Linked DNA regions of Oreochromis niloticus. The protein of the gene in region 1 purifies or fractionates together with the protein of each later gene. This does not show direct contact. Links are inferred from orthologs where the notes say so. Each region holds a gene or a part of one and is shown on either strand. Other genes may lie near its edges.

Region 1 (7,438 bases):
TTGCTGGTGAGTGGAGACCTGAATTTTATTTACTTAGCTGCTGCATTTAGATACATGTAGATAGATGTTTCCTTGTAGACAAAAGCACAACGCAGGACTATTCCTACGGAAAATGGTGACAATTCAAGAGACCAACCAAAACTTAAAAAGGGATTATTAAGAAATGCTTGTGCTGAATTTCAGAGCTATTCTTAGTATTGCAAGAAAAGAAATGATCTCCATGGGATCTAAAGAATAAGATTTTGTGCGTCATTTGACCTCTTCATTTAGTACAGTGTGGAGCAATTCAAGTTGTACTTCACCATCTGTTGCCTGTGTGTCCCAAACTAAGGACAAAGAAGATGAACTCTGATGCCTTTGAGAAAAGGTGCAACTGAGCAAAACATCAAACCCAGTACAGATAAAAATATGCAAAACTGTAATGTTCGGCTTTAGTCAGTGATCACACAGGGACACTTTTAACATGCTGGTAAAGCCTCTACAGTGGATGTTTAAAAATAACTTATTTTTTTCCTTCAGCATCTTCCTCTTGACTCTTGACGGTGATGATGTCTGTCTCTCCCTCACAGATGTTTTATTTTAGAGCTGACGTCTGCTGCAGGGGTGCACTTCTAATCTCTGCCTGTATCTTCATGCACAGATAGTCAGAATATCAGGGAGCCTTATTAATACTACTCAGGGCATGGGGTATCCATAGAAACAACCCTCCGTGTGGCTGATTCTTGACTTGATGTATCATGGGACAGCAGCAGCAGCAGCAGCAGCAGGCGGATGGTCGGCTCTGCACTCTTCTCTGTTTCTGCACGCTCCGCTGTTTGTTACAAGTCATCAAGCAGCCTTTGATGGCGAGGCAGGAAAAAAAAAGGGAGGAGGGGTCATGTGTTTTACATTCAATAAGACTCTGTTGGCTCCTCCTCTTCTTCCATGATACCAGTGAGTGCCTCTATCAGTCACGCGAGTTCATTCAAAGGGAGCTCCACACCTGGGCGCCAGCCAAGTCCTGGAGCTGTGGTATCCGCTCAGTATTCATATGTGTACATGTGCTTGGGTGTAATCCCTCAGAAATCTGCTTCCTGTTGCCTTTTCATGAATGTAGGGATTTCAGCAGCATCAGCATCAAGGCCAGTATAGGAAGACACCACCATTAGCTGCGTCGCTCAGCACATCTGCTGCTCCTGCTGCTGGGGAGGGAAAGAGGAAATGGGGTGAAAGCTTGGAGACGAGGAAGATAACAAGGAAAGTTAGACGGCAGCAGAGCCTGGGTGTTAACAGGGTCTGTTGCGGCAGAGTTACCATTACATAACACCGAATGGCAGTGTAACCTAATCTATGCAAGTAACTTTGAGTGCATAGAGAGAGGATGATCAATTTTATGGTGCTTTAATATGCGCTATATGAAACTGTTATCACATCAAAGCAAAAAGTCTATTTGACAGGGTGGACTAGATCGACATGATGGCAGTTTCTTGTTCATCCTTTCAGCTTTAGACAATTTTAGTTGCAATTTCTAACCCAGGAAGGTCACATAGAGGTAGCAAACAAAAGAATTGACTTTCTCCTTCTCTTCAGCCCCAGAGGTGAAGTCATCAATCTATAAAACAAATCTCTTTGCTACCAGAAGCCTCAGGGCACGGTTGTGAATGAACTCTTCCCTCTTTCAGCTCTTTCTTACTTGAAATGGAGAGCATGCACCCTGTAACTGAACTGGACTGCAGGTGCTTTTATCCCCCCCCCTCCCCATTTCCACAGCCTTTAAAATACTTACACACTCATGTTAAGCTCAGTCAGGCTGACTGTCAGAGGCTGCAAGAGTGTAAGGTGAGAACAGAGAGACTAGAGAGGCAGCACTGACAGTGGTGCTGGGTGGGAGGTGCAGCACTGGGGTAACTTTATAAATAATGCATAACCACTAGAGACGTCGTTGGTGCTCTCTCTCTCTCTCTCTCACACACGAACTGAGCATTTATTCTCTATATTTCTTCAGGTTATGCAACATAGCTATATATTATGAATAACAATGCAGTGTCTTTATCCAGTCCAAAAAATGTTTAGCGTCTTATATTCAAATTCAGAGTGCATACCTTTAAAAGAATATAACGTAGTCTTTCATTCACATTTAAGAGGAGGGAAATAAAAGTGAACTCTTGGCATGAGCCAATATGATGTTACCAAATTTGTCGGTGATAGCAGATATGAGCAAACAAGGGCACATCTGTCATACTCCCGGCTTTGTGCTGATGCCTTTCTGTCCCAGAGGAACCTCTGTAGCTTTGTTTTCTACTCTCGCTTTTCCATCTTCCTCTCTCTCTCTGTCGCTCTCTCTTTTATACTCGGTTTACTTCTCAATAAGCGTAAAGGCAGTTTTAGCCCACTTTACATCATGGGAAACACTGCATGTTCTTCCTCTGCGCACGCTGGCTTGATGCAGCTGCCTTTGTGTGTCTACACACACTCTAGAAACGCCCCTCTGACAGAACAAAAACAATGTAATGGAAGTGCATGTAATAAAACATAAAGCCCAGTTTATAAGGGGGGGAAAAGTATTCCAACCATAAACAACCCTATGTCAGACACATATCTCAGATATCTTATCAGAGCATCTGTTCTGTGGCAAACAACAAGAGGAAGAAGAAAGAAATATACGCAAAGATAACACCAGGAACCATCCAGCACTCACCGGGGCATTACACAGCCGCAGCCTGCCGTCCAGAAACAAAGATCCGGGGAAAAGATGCGAGCTCCGTGCAAGCAAAGAAAGTGAAACACGACCGCAGCTCTGCCTCTATGGTGCGTCGGGGAGATTCAGTTGATAGAGAAGGGAACAGTCGGTGCGGGTCGGCACCGGGCGGGGGGGAGATGAGATAAGCCGGAGGCTGCTACAGAGCCGGTTATTGTGAGCGACTGTCCGCTCTCTGTCAGCGCTTTAGAGCGGTGATCTGAGAGAGGGGGAGGAGAGGAAGCGATCACCCCGATTCAGGTGCATCTAGCAGACCTGAGTGTCCTCGTAGGATCTCTCACACACTGCACCACACATGATTAAGTACTAATCTCTCTCTCTCCCTCTCCCTCACTTTCACATCTCTCCCTCATATCTCCGTGACTCCCAGCAGCTGCTCCCAGACCTTAGTTTCCACGAGTGTCACAGTTACTGGTCTCCAAACCCACTGAGGGCTAAACAATGGGAAAATTATAATTCAGACATCCATCTTTCTCATCCCTTCGCCCCTCCATCTCACTCCAGTTTCGTTATTATAGCTTGATGATTACCACGGCCATCTATCATCCTGACAGGCGCAACATCTGCGGGTCTGAGATCCCCCAAGACAGGAAGCCAGAGAGGAGCCTTTGTTGACTGTGGGTTCTGCAGAACATCTACCTGGTGGGGAGCTGGTGAGGAGAGTGAAAATGAAAAACACAAGGCTTTTGTGAGCATGGCATTGGCTAGTGTTTAAAAGAAGAACAGAAGAAAATGGCTGCTGATGAGCTAAAGTGTGCCAGTTTTATTATATAAATTATGATGAAATTAGTCTATTTCACAAGCCAGCTGAACCATGCTGTTGTTCCTAAAAAACAGAGGGGAAAAAACAGTGATCTACAGCTATAGTTGGATAAACGCAGTGTGATTGGTTCCTCATTCTCTAGCTATATTAAGATATGATTTCTTGCTTTCCTAAACCCTTTTCTGACAACTCCAGAAAACTGCGTGAGCTCAAAGTGTGTGGGTTGTTGACCTTTATGAAGACTAACAGAGCGGAAAAAACAGGAAAAAAGCAAAGTTTCTTCAGCTTCTGCAGCATCTCAATAATCTGTTGACTTACAAACTTCAGCAGCCGCTGGAAGGTCACGGTGAGCGTAATAATTATGCAGGGTTGCTTCAGCTGGAGGGATTAATAAAGAGGAGAGAGGCTCCGCAGAGAACAGATCCATGAGTCACCTAATGTAATGAACTGTGTGTGATGCTGTTATGATGTTGTGGGTTTGTCAAGAAGAAGAGACAGTTACAGATACACTTCTAGATTTTGTGTTCCATTTCTGCCTCATTAGTGTACGGATATCTAAGCTAATGGGGATTCATGGCATGAGAGCACAGATGAAGATGTCTTTCTCACCTCTAATCTGAAACATCGTGGCATAAAACAGTTTGGGAAACAAAACTTTATTAGGTCTTCAGACTGCAGAAAGTATCTGACAACTTTTGGCTGAGTTATGTTTCGGGGATGAATCATTTGCTAAACACAGACCGTAAGTGGGTCTGTGGTTTCTTTGTGATTACAAAAGGAGGTTTGAAATCAGAGAGCCGCTGCTATCGCTAAGATGAAAAGTGACAAGAAATATTTCCAACAACAGGATTTCTGTCTCTCGCTCTCCTTTTTTTTTTTTTTTTGATGTATCTAAAGGGAATCTTGGTCTAGTCTATCAAATTTTCATCTTACAGAAGCATATCTGCTCTTTGTCCTGCAAAAATAGAACAAGTTTACAAATGGAAGGTAGAAAACTGTCAAATGCTTTGATTGCAATTGCACCCAAAGAGTCTTCCTCTAAGGATGCTTTTATTCAGTAGCAGGAAAAGCATCAGAATACATGGTGAAAACCATCCTGACTGATATCCCAGCTAACCTATCCCAGCTACCATAGGGCAAGAGGTAAGTTACATCCTGGACAGGTCAGCAGTGTGACACAGAGGAACAGGCAACCATTTGCACTCACATTCACAGTTACAGGCAATTTAGAGTCACCATATAACCTAACCCTACCAACTGCATATCCTTGGACTGTGGAAGGAAGCCGGAGTACCCGGAGAGAACCCACACAGACACAGAGAGAACATGCAAACTCCACACACAGGTGGTGGAGGCGACTCAGTAGAACCTTCTTGCTGTGAGGCAACAGTACCACTACACCACCCCCTTGTTTTAAAGCCTGTTTCTAGTCCATTGAATCCTTGTAAATGTAAAACAGAGATGGACACCTTTTGCTACATTATGCAACTGGTGACCAGACATTTCAAAAACATATCTGTCTGCAGATTTTGTTTCTCCTGTGCATATTTTCTGCAACAAACTTAAATGACAAAAATGTAAAATACTGATATAGAAAAGCTGGATTAAAATAACCCTTTGTTTGGGGATATATTTTTTTTAATTCATTCTGCATTTCTGTTCTGTTCGTTCATGTGGCAAATCAGATTCTTTGTTGGGCAACATAAGCAGGGTGTAAAGGAAATGAGGTAAATAAATAAATAAATAAATGAAAGGAGGAGATGATGGAAAGATGAGAAAAAGGGCAAAGGAATATAGCAAAAAAAAGGAGCTAGAAGACACGGATATCTCCTTCAACAATTCATGCTGTGAAGATACACAATTATAGGTAATATGGACAGAGCTGTGACCTGCTGCTTCTCATGTGGTCTATTTCAGCCTCTGTTCTCTGTCCTGTGTGTCTGGGCCTCTTCTCTGGCTGCCCTCTCTAATTAACACTGATGCCGTAGAACAAATGGAGACATCACAGCGTTGGTTGTGGGTGACTATTTAGAGAAGCACACATAAACAGTAGCGTGCATGCTTGCTGTCAGTAGCACCTGCTCTTGGTCCTGACGGTGCATATTTAATATTTGGTCTCAAAGGATGGTGAAAGGTTGGAAAATCAAATAAACCTCGACACTACTACAACCCTATTTGTTTGTATTATTTTTTAATAAAAAGGAGACAAATCCCACTCTATTTCCCCGCCATACCTATAAGAAAGCAAACATCTCTCTAATCCACCATGTGATACACTTCAAGCCATGTTCTTTGTTAAACCTTTGATGGTAAAGCTGACAAAGGCAGCAGTTATGAAACAAATTCAGAAAAGACACTTAGTAGCTGAATAGCTGTGCACAACATGAAGGAATTCTTCAGGTAAGTGTCCTCAAATCTCCACAAAGAGGAAGAAAAACAGCCCTTCTGAATTTTTTCTCCATCTTCCTGCAGGAAGTGAGCAGCAGCACCGCATGTGCGCCCTCCTCAGGTTAGCTCCTGTCAAAAATTAAATAAATAAAAGCAAAGATCCCTCTCTAAGTAGGAAAGGAAATAAATAAATTAGAGGTCAGGCGGAAATCTTCTTGTGATGACATTAGGCATGTGCGCTTGGCTTGTGAGGAATTTCTTCCTGTGAGTTGATGGCCCAAATTGGAGCGCGAGTGAGAGAGAGAGAAAGGGGCCACATCTGGAGGTGTCCAAATAAGACAACAGAAAATGCCACAGTAATAAATTATCCACACAAGTGACTCATAGCCTCATGAATTCATCGCTCTCTGGTTGTTTTTTTTTATCTTTAAAGTGAACACGATACTGTCTATCTGTCAGATTCTGAATTCATGGGATACAAGTCTACTGTTTTCCTCCAGTATGCAATCAGGATTCCTAAAAAAAAGTGTTTGGTTTGTGTAAATTAATATATATAAATATAAATATAATATTTTATTTATAACAGAATACAGACAACATGTCAGATGTTTAAGATGAATCTCAGAGAGATTATGTTTGCCAGCAACTCCTCTTCTAAACATCTGGGAACTGAGGAGACCAAAAGTTCAGATGGAGGATTTGTGGCAGAGGGATGTTGTCTCGTTCTCCTCTGATGCACGATTCTTGCTGCTCAACAGTTCTTTGTCACATTTGGTCCCTCTCTTCCTTAGGCCACAGAATGCAACGTCCATGTTTTCCAAAATGATTTTCAAATTTTGATTTGTCTGTCCGCATAACATTTTTCCACTCTGCGTTTCCGGATTATGTTCATATTTGGCTTCTTCTTTGCACGATAGAGCTTTAACTTGCATTTGAGACTGGCACGATGAACCGTGTTTATAGCAGTGATTTCTGGAAGTGTTCCTGAGCCCCCACATCGATTTCCATGACAGAATCGTACCTGTTTTAAATGTAGCGCTGCCTGAGGGCCCCCATCCAATCCAATATTGATTTTTGTCCCTTGTGCACAGAAATTTCTCCATATTCTCTGAATCCTTTGATGTTATTATTTACTGTAGATGCGATATTCAAAGTCTTTGCATTTTAACACTGAGGAATATTGTTGCAACATTTGTAGATTTGTAGTTTTTTTTACAGATGGGTGAACATCTGCCCATCTCTACTTCTGAGAAACTCTGCATCTCTGAGATGCTCTTTTTAAACCCAATCATGTTACTGACCTGTTCCCAATTAACCTAATTAGTTGCAAAATATTCCTCCTGTCGTTTCTTTTTAGTACCCCCCTAAAAAGCCTTTTGCAACCTTCTGCTGCAATAAAATTCAAAATGAGCTAATATTTTTCATGAAATAGAAAGAGTGTTTTCTCTGTTCTATAATAAAACATGCATTCATCAGATTTCCATATCATTTGGTTCTGTTTTTATTTACATTTTACACAGCCTCCTAAACTTTTATATTTATACAAACCC
Region 2 (8,067 bases), on another chromosome or scaffold:
AAATGATAAATCAGGAGTCTGAAACGGGACTGTTCATGGATACCAACACTTGTACTCCAGCCACATTTCTGTACCCCTCCCCCACCCGCTAACATGGCGCCCAGGAGTCCACAGTTTAAAAAAAAAAAAAAAAAAAAAATGTAATAGCCACTGCAAGAACACAGCACATGGGACTACATCGACAATGTTACAGTGTCCGTGCACACACGCAGCTAAAACTGGCCGCACGTGAGGCGTTCGCATATAATGACTAGTCTGTGGACCACGCGTGAAACCGCAACTGCTCCAAACTTAACGCAGAATCCAGCACACAAGCTAGTAGTTACGCGAGGGCTCCATCAAAACAGTCCGCTCTAAGCATGCGCTAGCCAAACAGGCTAACGCGTGCAGCTTGCTACAGTGCGTTTAGTTGTTTAGATTATTATCCAATTAAAGTTTGTTCACCTATCCGTATTCCTTAAAGACAACACGTAATCCAATACCCTAGTAAGCTCACGAAGTATGCTGGTAACGTTTAGATATTCGCTTCCACTCCCCGTCCACTTCTAAGCATTGTATTGCCCCTTGTCTTAGCCAACTTAGTTGTTTCAGTATGGCTAACTCACACATGCTAATTAGAGATCAGTACACGTGCTCCCAGGTGCTTGTAAACGCCGACAGCGGCGTTTGAATAAACATAAGAGAGCCCACATAACTAGTGACAATTATGTTATTATTTTAAATACACATCTTTTTTGTTGGCATGTTAGCGTTAGCCGCTAACTCGGCAGCTCGCGAGATAGCAAAGGCGCGCGGCCTGCTACAACCCCATGTGCTGCTGCTGCTTTGTTCTGGAGGCACTTTTAAATGTACACCACCGCAACCCGAAATGACTGAAAACTTAAAAATTATACAAACAGACGGCTGACAGCGAGGGCACGTGAGTCTACAACTTGGGGCTTTTGCCAAAATTTGTAGCGGTTATTTTATTTTATTTCTTTTTACGAGTGTGGACCACTTCCCCGAGGTACCGACAAGAGGTGCAACAGCAGCGGCAACACATGCTTTTCAAATCTCCCTCATTCTCCTGCCATGGAGAAGAGGTTGCCATGCGCTTCTACTACATTTGTTTTTAAAAATGCGGAAACTTGACTATTAAAACGCTTTCTTCTCCCCTCCTCGCATATACGTTAAAGCGCACACCCGTGCCGAAGTCAACCCAGCGCATTTCACTTTCCCGACGTTTACCGCATCTCCCCAAAAAGGCTAACAACAGGTTTCTTGCCAACAACACGCGCCTTATAAGACACTAAAAAATCCACCATCTTCACTCACTTGTTCAGACTTACCGTTTACCCAGTTTCTTGGACATCTGCAAAATTTAAAAAAAAGAACACAGACTTCACAGATTAAACATCGGCTAAGACGTGTAACCCCTCCAAAAAAGTGCACAACCATGTGCTACTATTATGATTTGCTAGGATTTTGGGAATCGTAGTAAGATTGCGAAAGTGGCGCGAGTAGACTCTCCTTTTAACCATGTGGTGAATGAAGGGCGGTTCCCAGCCAGCGTAGCGGAGCCTCAACTCCTTCATTAGCATAAATCCTCTACTTCCTCTCCAAGTGGGACTCTGAAGTTTCCCCACTTAATTCATATATTGTAGCTATACATACAAAGGTGGTCACATAGATAAGCCGTTTTAATAGGGGAAAAAAATATATCAAATTGCCTCCCATTATAATCACTGGACGGGACGCCGTAAGGCTCTCTAATCTGATTTTGGTGATGTTTACACGTGGAATAAAAAATGTTTTATGAGATTTAATACATTCTTAAAATAATTCGATCTAACGAAAAATAAATTTGTTCTATTTGTTTAAACTGGATGATAGTATACGTCTGTGTGCTAAATCTGTTTACTACATAAAAAAGAATTATTTGGGGAATTTTCTGGGATGGCTTTTCAGATTTGTAGCTGACCAGAATTTGAAGCAGTGTAACCAAAACAGAACCTTACAAATGAAACGAATAATAATCATGATAACATTTTTCGACTTTCTATGTTTTAGTTTTTTTCGTTTTGTTTTTATTTGACATTCTTTACAATATTAGATAAATAAAAAAATATTATAATAGATTTTTATCTTTAGTTTTAATGAGAGACTATACCACCATGCTTCTTTATACAATTGAACTGTAACATTTAGTAACATAAAAATATTCATTAATGTCAGCAAAGAGTTTTACAAAGGGAATCCAAAGGCCACCTACATGGCTCAGTGTCTTTTGCTGGGCCTATACCTTCTCAAAGGACATAAGAAGTGTTCCCAGCAGAAATGAGAGAACTGTCGTGCATATAGCCATAGGTCAGTGTAGTTCACCTCTAACCCCTGGATTCATTCATGTGTGAAGTCACACAATGGAGGCACAGATTTTGAAGTTGCCTTTTCTGCTCAAACAGAAGAGAAATGCAAATGTAAATTTCAGTGACAGAAAGCATTGCAATGAAAACATATGAACGATTATGATGTTGAACTTTAATGAAAAATAAAACAACAAATAAAATAGATACAATAACTATTTCAAAGAGGTGTAAGTCTCACTTCAACTGTTATTTCTGTGACATATTTAACATTTCCTAAAATTCACTTTGAGGATTTAAAAAACAAACAAGCAAACAAAAACATGGGGATGGCAACATTACAAATCAATCTTTTATTTTGCTAACAGTGTTTTTTTGTAGGCAGAGAATGTATACAACATACAGTGGAAATCTTCAAAAACTAACAACAGCAACAATTGTTGTTTAAAATCGAGGTGTTTGAAGAGAATATGTAGAATCTCATGTGGTAAAAATGTGACAGCGAGCTTGCCTAAGTGTGATAAAACTAAAACACTTAGAATTTACTCACCACAATTTTATAATTAAACTGAATCTTAGACAGTTTTAGTGTTAGGAATGAATCTTTCACAAAAACAAGTTGTGTTGCATTTAAGAGAAAGAAAAACATCAAATCCAGATATTGTAGTCAACCAACTTTTATGTTTTTTTAAAAAATCAAATTGATTAGATTGGTCATTATCATTATCTGTAAAAAGCAAACAATTCAAGTTCAGTTAACTGAACTTGAATTGTTTGCTTTTTTAAAAGAAATTAACAAATTTATTAATAAAAGAATAAAAATTTGAAACAACAGTAAGGAGGAGCAAGACAGGATCTACAGAGTGAAAAAACTTAAAGACTTAACAAGACTTAAAATGGCAGCAAGTGTCTGGGCCCTTACATATCTTCTGATATACAACTTGTTTTAGACTTGGGCAGTACATTTTGGAATTAATAAATTATTATGTGTAGAAATACTAGAATGAACACACTTGAATAAAATATGTAACATCTAAACAGGACAAGAATAATTCACGTAGGTCATACCTAAATAAACAGAAAGGGAAAAAGAAAAGAAAAAAAACCTGATAGTTTTTAAAAATAAAACATGTTTTACAGTATAACCTAGTTTGATAGCTCAGTTTCTCACACAACAAATACGAAAAAGAGTTACCCCCTTTTTCTTAATATTTTGCTTCCAATGAATTAAATGCCATGTTTTCTGAAGATATGCTAAAGATTTTCTTTGAACATTGGATGTTTTTATTCATTTTCAGTTCCATCCTGAATCATTCCAACATAAAAAAAAGTTACCAAACTCTAAAGTTGAAGCAGTTTTGTATCTACAAAAAACAGACAACTTAGCAAAGAACTTTTAAATTGTTTTTCTGCCTCTTCTTTACTAGAAGCCTGTCAAAAAACACATAATGTGTTCCCATTTTTTTGTTGAATTAAAAATATGAAAACATCTATAAATAATATCTGCCATATAAAAACATAAAATATAAAATAGTATTTTTGCACTAACAAGTTGACTCCCAAAGAGCTTGGAACACAAAAGAAGAAGTGGCAGGCAATGTTAAAGCAGATGAACAGTACATGAAAGTTATGTAATTAACAAATAAGAAAAAAAATAGTCCAAGTTGTGTTGAAGCATAAAGTTGGTCCTACCAAATACTGACTTTTAAGCTCTTTCCCATTTCCTAGCAACGAATTAAAAAACAAGGTAGCTCAAGACTTTTGCACAGTACTGTAGCCATTGAATCAACATAAAATGTAGAAATAATTGTCACAAAAATTGTTGTATATCTATATTGGTTTTTTAGTTCCAGAATCACATTTATTTATGTACTACTGGGTACTGATGTAAAATAAGATTTAAATAAGAATGGTTTTTATGGTATGGGAACATCTTAGGTCGGGTAGGGTCTTTTTTTGTTTTGATCAAATGTAATAATTATTATTAATTAGTTTCAGTTAGCACAACTTGTGTTATTGTTGATGTGTTCTTATTGCGGCTCGTTGAATGAGTATTTTTGAACCTACCCAGCTGCCATAGGTCACACGCTGCTCTCCACGGAAGTTAGATCAACCTGCCATAATAATATCATACAGTCAGACACGGTACTTTTACAGGCAATTGTTATTAAAACTAAGGATAAAATTAAAATTACGGCGTGCTAATACAGTGGTATATATTTCAAATTGATGTATTAATTTGTTTTAGAGTATGTATACATATAACAATGTAGCTGATAATATAAAGTTTATTTTATTTTGAAAATCGAATTCACGAGTTCCGGTGGGGTTGCCGTAGGTCTGTCAGAGGAGTCGTTCTAACAGACTAATGCTGTGTGTTCTTGCCATGGTTTCATGAGGTTTCTCACCGTTGCACGTGTTGCTTTTGGATCGTAAAAGGTCAGTTCAATGATCTGGTTAAAATACATACAGATTTGTGCAATTTTAGTTTAGTGTAGTTTAAATTAACATTGTGTTTCCTGCTGTCTCATTGTAAAACGTGTCTGACCTCTGTTGGTTTACAGATGGACAGACTACTTTAACATGTAAATCTTTAAATAATTTAGGTTTATCGTTTGGTTTAAACTGTAATTTTAAGAGAGAAATATCATGTATTGTAGGCAGTCTCGGAAAGAGCTACAAAAGTGCATTAAAATAGCCACCATAACAAAAAAGTAGTGTATGTTCACGATTGACAAGCAGCTTTATGATGTTTGTGTCTAAAGTTTCAACATTTAAAAATTAACCAGGAAGCTCATCTGTATGCATCTCTATCTTTTTAACTGTGCTTTTAATACAAACAATTTATAAATTATTCATTTGTAAGATATGCTTTTGCTTTGGCACATTACTTGACTTGGCACATGACTTTTGTTTTGCTGTATTTTGCTATGTTTTCTAGTGTGGTACACCCATGGCTGCCTGTGTGGTGTGTCGCTGGATGCCCAGGCTACGCCACCTCCCAGGCCTGAGAAAAGGCTTTGCCCGCGCTCAGCATGTGCATATTAAACCAGAGGATGAGGCTGATGATCTGGAGGAAAAGAGAAGCTTGTCGCATCACAATGAAGTATGTTTAGAAGGATACAGGCTCCATTACAGCCCTTCTTCATATCATCACTGTGCATTGAACTCTGCCTCCCATAGCCAAACAGACAACGATGAAGATGAGCAGTGTCTACCCACTCTCGCACCTTCTTTCTGGCAACGGAGCAATCGCTACAGTGTGAGTTGCTCACGACATCTCTCCAGCTCAAAAAACACTCTTCTGGACTTGGCCTTCAATAAAAGCTCTGAACCAGAGATCCCCTCAGCGTCCTCTTACCAGAGAAAACCTGTACTACCAGATGTTAAAATAGACACGCGTGCCTTCCACAAATGCAGACCAGAGTATGCCTCAATGAGCCTAGACCTTAACCAGAGACCTCACCCACTCAAATGGGAAGAGGCAATGCAGCTGCTCCAAAAAGTGGCTGTTTTAAAGGGCAGCATGAAAGCATCTGATGTGTCTCAGTTTCTTATGGAGCTCAGCCGATTGCACCCAGACAAGATGCCGTTAGTGAGGAGTGACCAGCGCTTCATCATGCTCCTTCGATATTCCGTGGAACACCTTCGCCACTTTACTCAACTTCAGCTGCTAGAGGTGCTGCAGTCGTTTGTGTGGCTGGGCATGCCCTCTGCCCACACTATACTCGAACTGTACGAGACTGAGCTGAGTCGCCGGTCCAGTCAGATGACTTTGCATCAGTTGATTTTAGCTGCTGATTTGTGGCGCTGTATAGGGAAGCAGGCACCTCAGTTCCTACTGCACCTCTATGACTCCGTTCGTCTGCATCTGGGACAATTGGGCGTGCCCGAGGTGGTCCAACTGTTGTATATATTGGGAGAGGGTAGGCAGTGTCCAAAAGACGTGATCCGTCCTCTGGAGCAGCTTCTCATGAATCATTTGCCACAATTGCGACCTGAGGAGGTTGGTGTTATATGCTTAGGACTCTTTAAATCCCAAACTTCAATATCTGAGAGTGCAGTGACTCGCATTGTTGATAAGGCACTCTCTTTTGTGAAGGAGATGAGCGACTTTGCCATGGTGAATGTGTTGAAGTACCTGCGTTTCAGTTATTTATATCACAGGGCATGGCTGGAGGCCATGGCAGAGGAAGTTCCTCAGCGTGCCCACAGAATGGGTGTCAAGGGGCTAATGCATGTGGCACTGACCTGTTCTGCTCTTCATTACAGTAATGACAATATCCTTACTGCTGTCGCTGACAGAGTACCCTTGTTAGTGCCACACTGCAGAAGTAAAGACTCATGCAAACTCTTGTGGGCTTATGGCACATTAGGGTTTCTCCCATTACGGAGTCCAAGCTTCTATCCAAGTCTTACAGAATCCCTGAGGCAAAGGAAAGCTGAATTTCAACGATACCCAGAGCATCTGCTCACTGGTCTTTTAGGCTTGGCCTTTGTCTCACAGTTCCCAGAGGACCTAATTGCATTAGCCTTGAGCCCTGATTTTGTCAACTTAGCACTGAAATGCACACAGCTTGAGCTGAAGAAGGATTTGTTCACTTTAGATGGAGTTGTAGCTTTGGAGTTGCCTCAGTGGACTGGCCCTCGACTGAGCAGTGAACTTCGGGATGAGGTTACAGAAATGCTGTGGAAGTTTGCTCAGTCAGATGTGTGCCAGAAACCCGAGGTTCAGGAGGCAGAATCTGCTCTGAAAGATCTGCTTGGTGGTGAGGAGTTTGTATGTAAAAGAATGATCCTTCCCCATACTCGCTCCATTGACCTGGAAGTACACCTCAACTCCACTGGGCAGCCTGTACCTGTGAACCAAGCATCTCTAGAACAAAGCTCATCCACATCTCCTTCTAATCAGGGATGGGGGAAATTAAATGTAGGAGTTACAATAACTGATGAACTTTTAGCACAGTTGATAAATAAAAACAACAACACAAAAGCGCCTTTGGCTCAATCACCTAAAGTGAAGACTGCATCTCTTCAAAGATTACAGCCTGATGAAAGTGGGAGACTCTTTGACACAGTGTTAGACTTGACCACTGACATTATAGAAACTCTGACCAAACCCAGTCACCTTGGGTCTTCTCGCAAGGACTCCAATGAGATAGTCAAAATTGCCGTACAGGTCTCGAACAGGAACCACTTCTGCTCCCAGTCACAGCAGCTCCTGGGACTTCATGCCATGAAGAGAAGGCAGTTAAAGATAGCAGGCTATAGGGTTGTAGAGCTTAGTTATCAAGAGTGGTTTCCATTGCTGAGGAAAAGCAGAGCCGAGAAGCTGGCATATCTGCACTGCAAACTCTACGACAATCTATAATGATTCTCAGCCACAGTAAAGTGGAGAAAATTTGGAGTCCGTTGCAAACTGTATAACCATCCGGCTTCTGGAAAATCTTTACAGTGTTGAAAATATTTGCACATTGCAGAATAAAAGATGTTTTGTATTGCAAAAATGTTTTTCGTTGAGATTTTTGTAAAAGTATATTTTTAAATTTACATTTCAAGACTATAAAAACTGTTGATATGAAAACTAAAACATCAGCTTTTCAATGCCAGGCTGTAGTATAAAATACATTTGACATTTATATGTTCTTGTGTGTTTACTTAAATGTTAAGCTTTTCCTCATTCAAATCAATGATGATAATCTTTTCAGAGGTCAGTTCTTCTGTC

The links. The genes of interacting proteins can lie anywhere in the genome.
Region 2: the proteins of mapk4 (region 1) and fastkd5 purify together in Homo sapiens (affinity purification with mass spectrometry; 3 studies listed by BioGRID and IntAct, with this or other methods). This does not show direct contact. The link is inferred for Oreochromis niloticus from reciprocal best matches to the Homo sapiens genes MAPK4 and FASTKD5.

Annotation. Positions count from the first base shown.
Region 1 is NC_031977.2:22,133,065-22,140,502, reverse strand, and holds the start of mapk4 (mitogen-activated protein kinase 4), read right to left. Parts: upstream 3,398-7,438; 5' UTR 2,678-3,397; intron 1,182-2,677; exon of another isoform or gene 1,179-1,181; 5' UTR 1-1,178. UniProt on the Homo sapiens protein: Atypical MAPK protein. Phosphorylates microtubule-associated protein 2 (MAP2) and MAPKAPK5.
Region 2 is NC_031987.2:17,800,015-17,808,081, forward strand, and holds the start of fastkd5 (FAST kinase domain-containing protein 5, mitochondrial), read left to right. Parts: upstream 1-4,515; 5' UTR 4,516-4,781; intron 4,782-5,283; 5' UTR 5,284-5,295; coding exon 5,296-7,713; 3' UTR 7,714-8,067. UniProt on the Homo sapiens protein: Plays an important role in the processing of non-canonical mitochondrial mRNA precursors.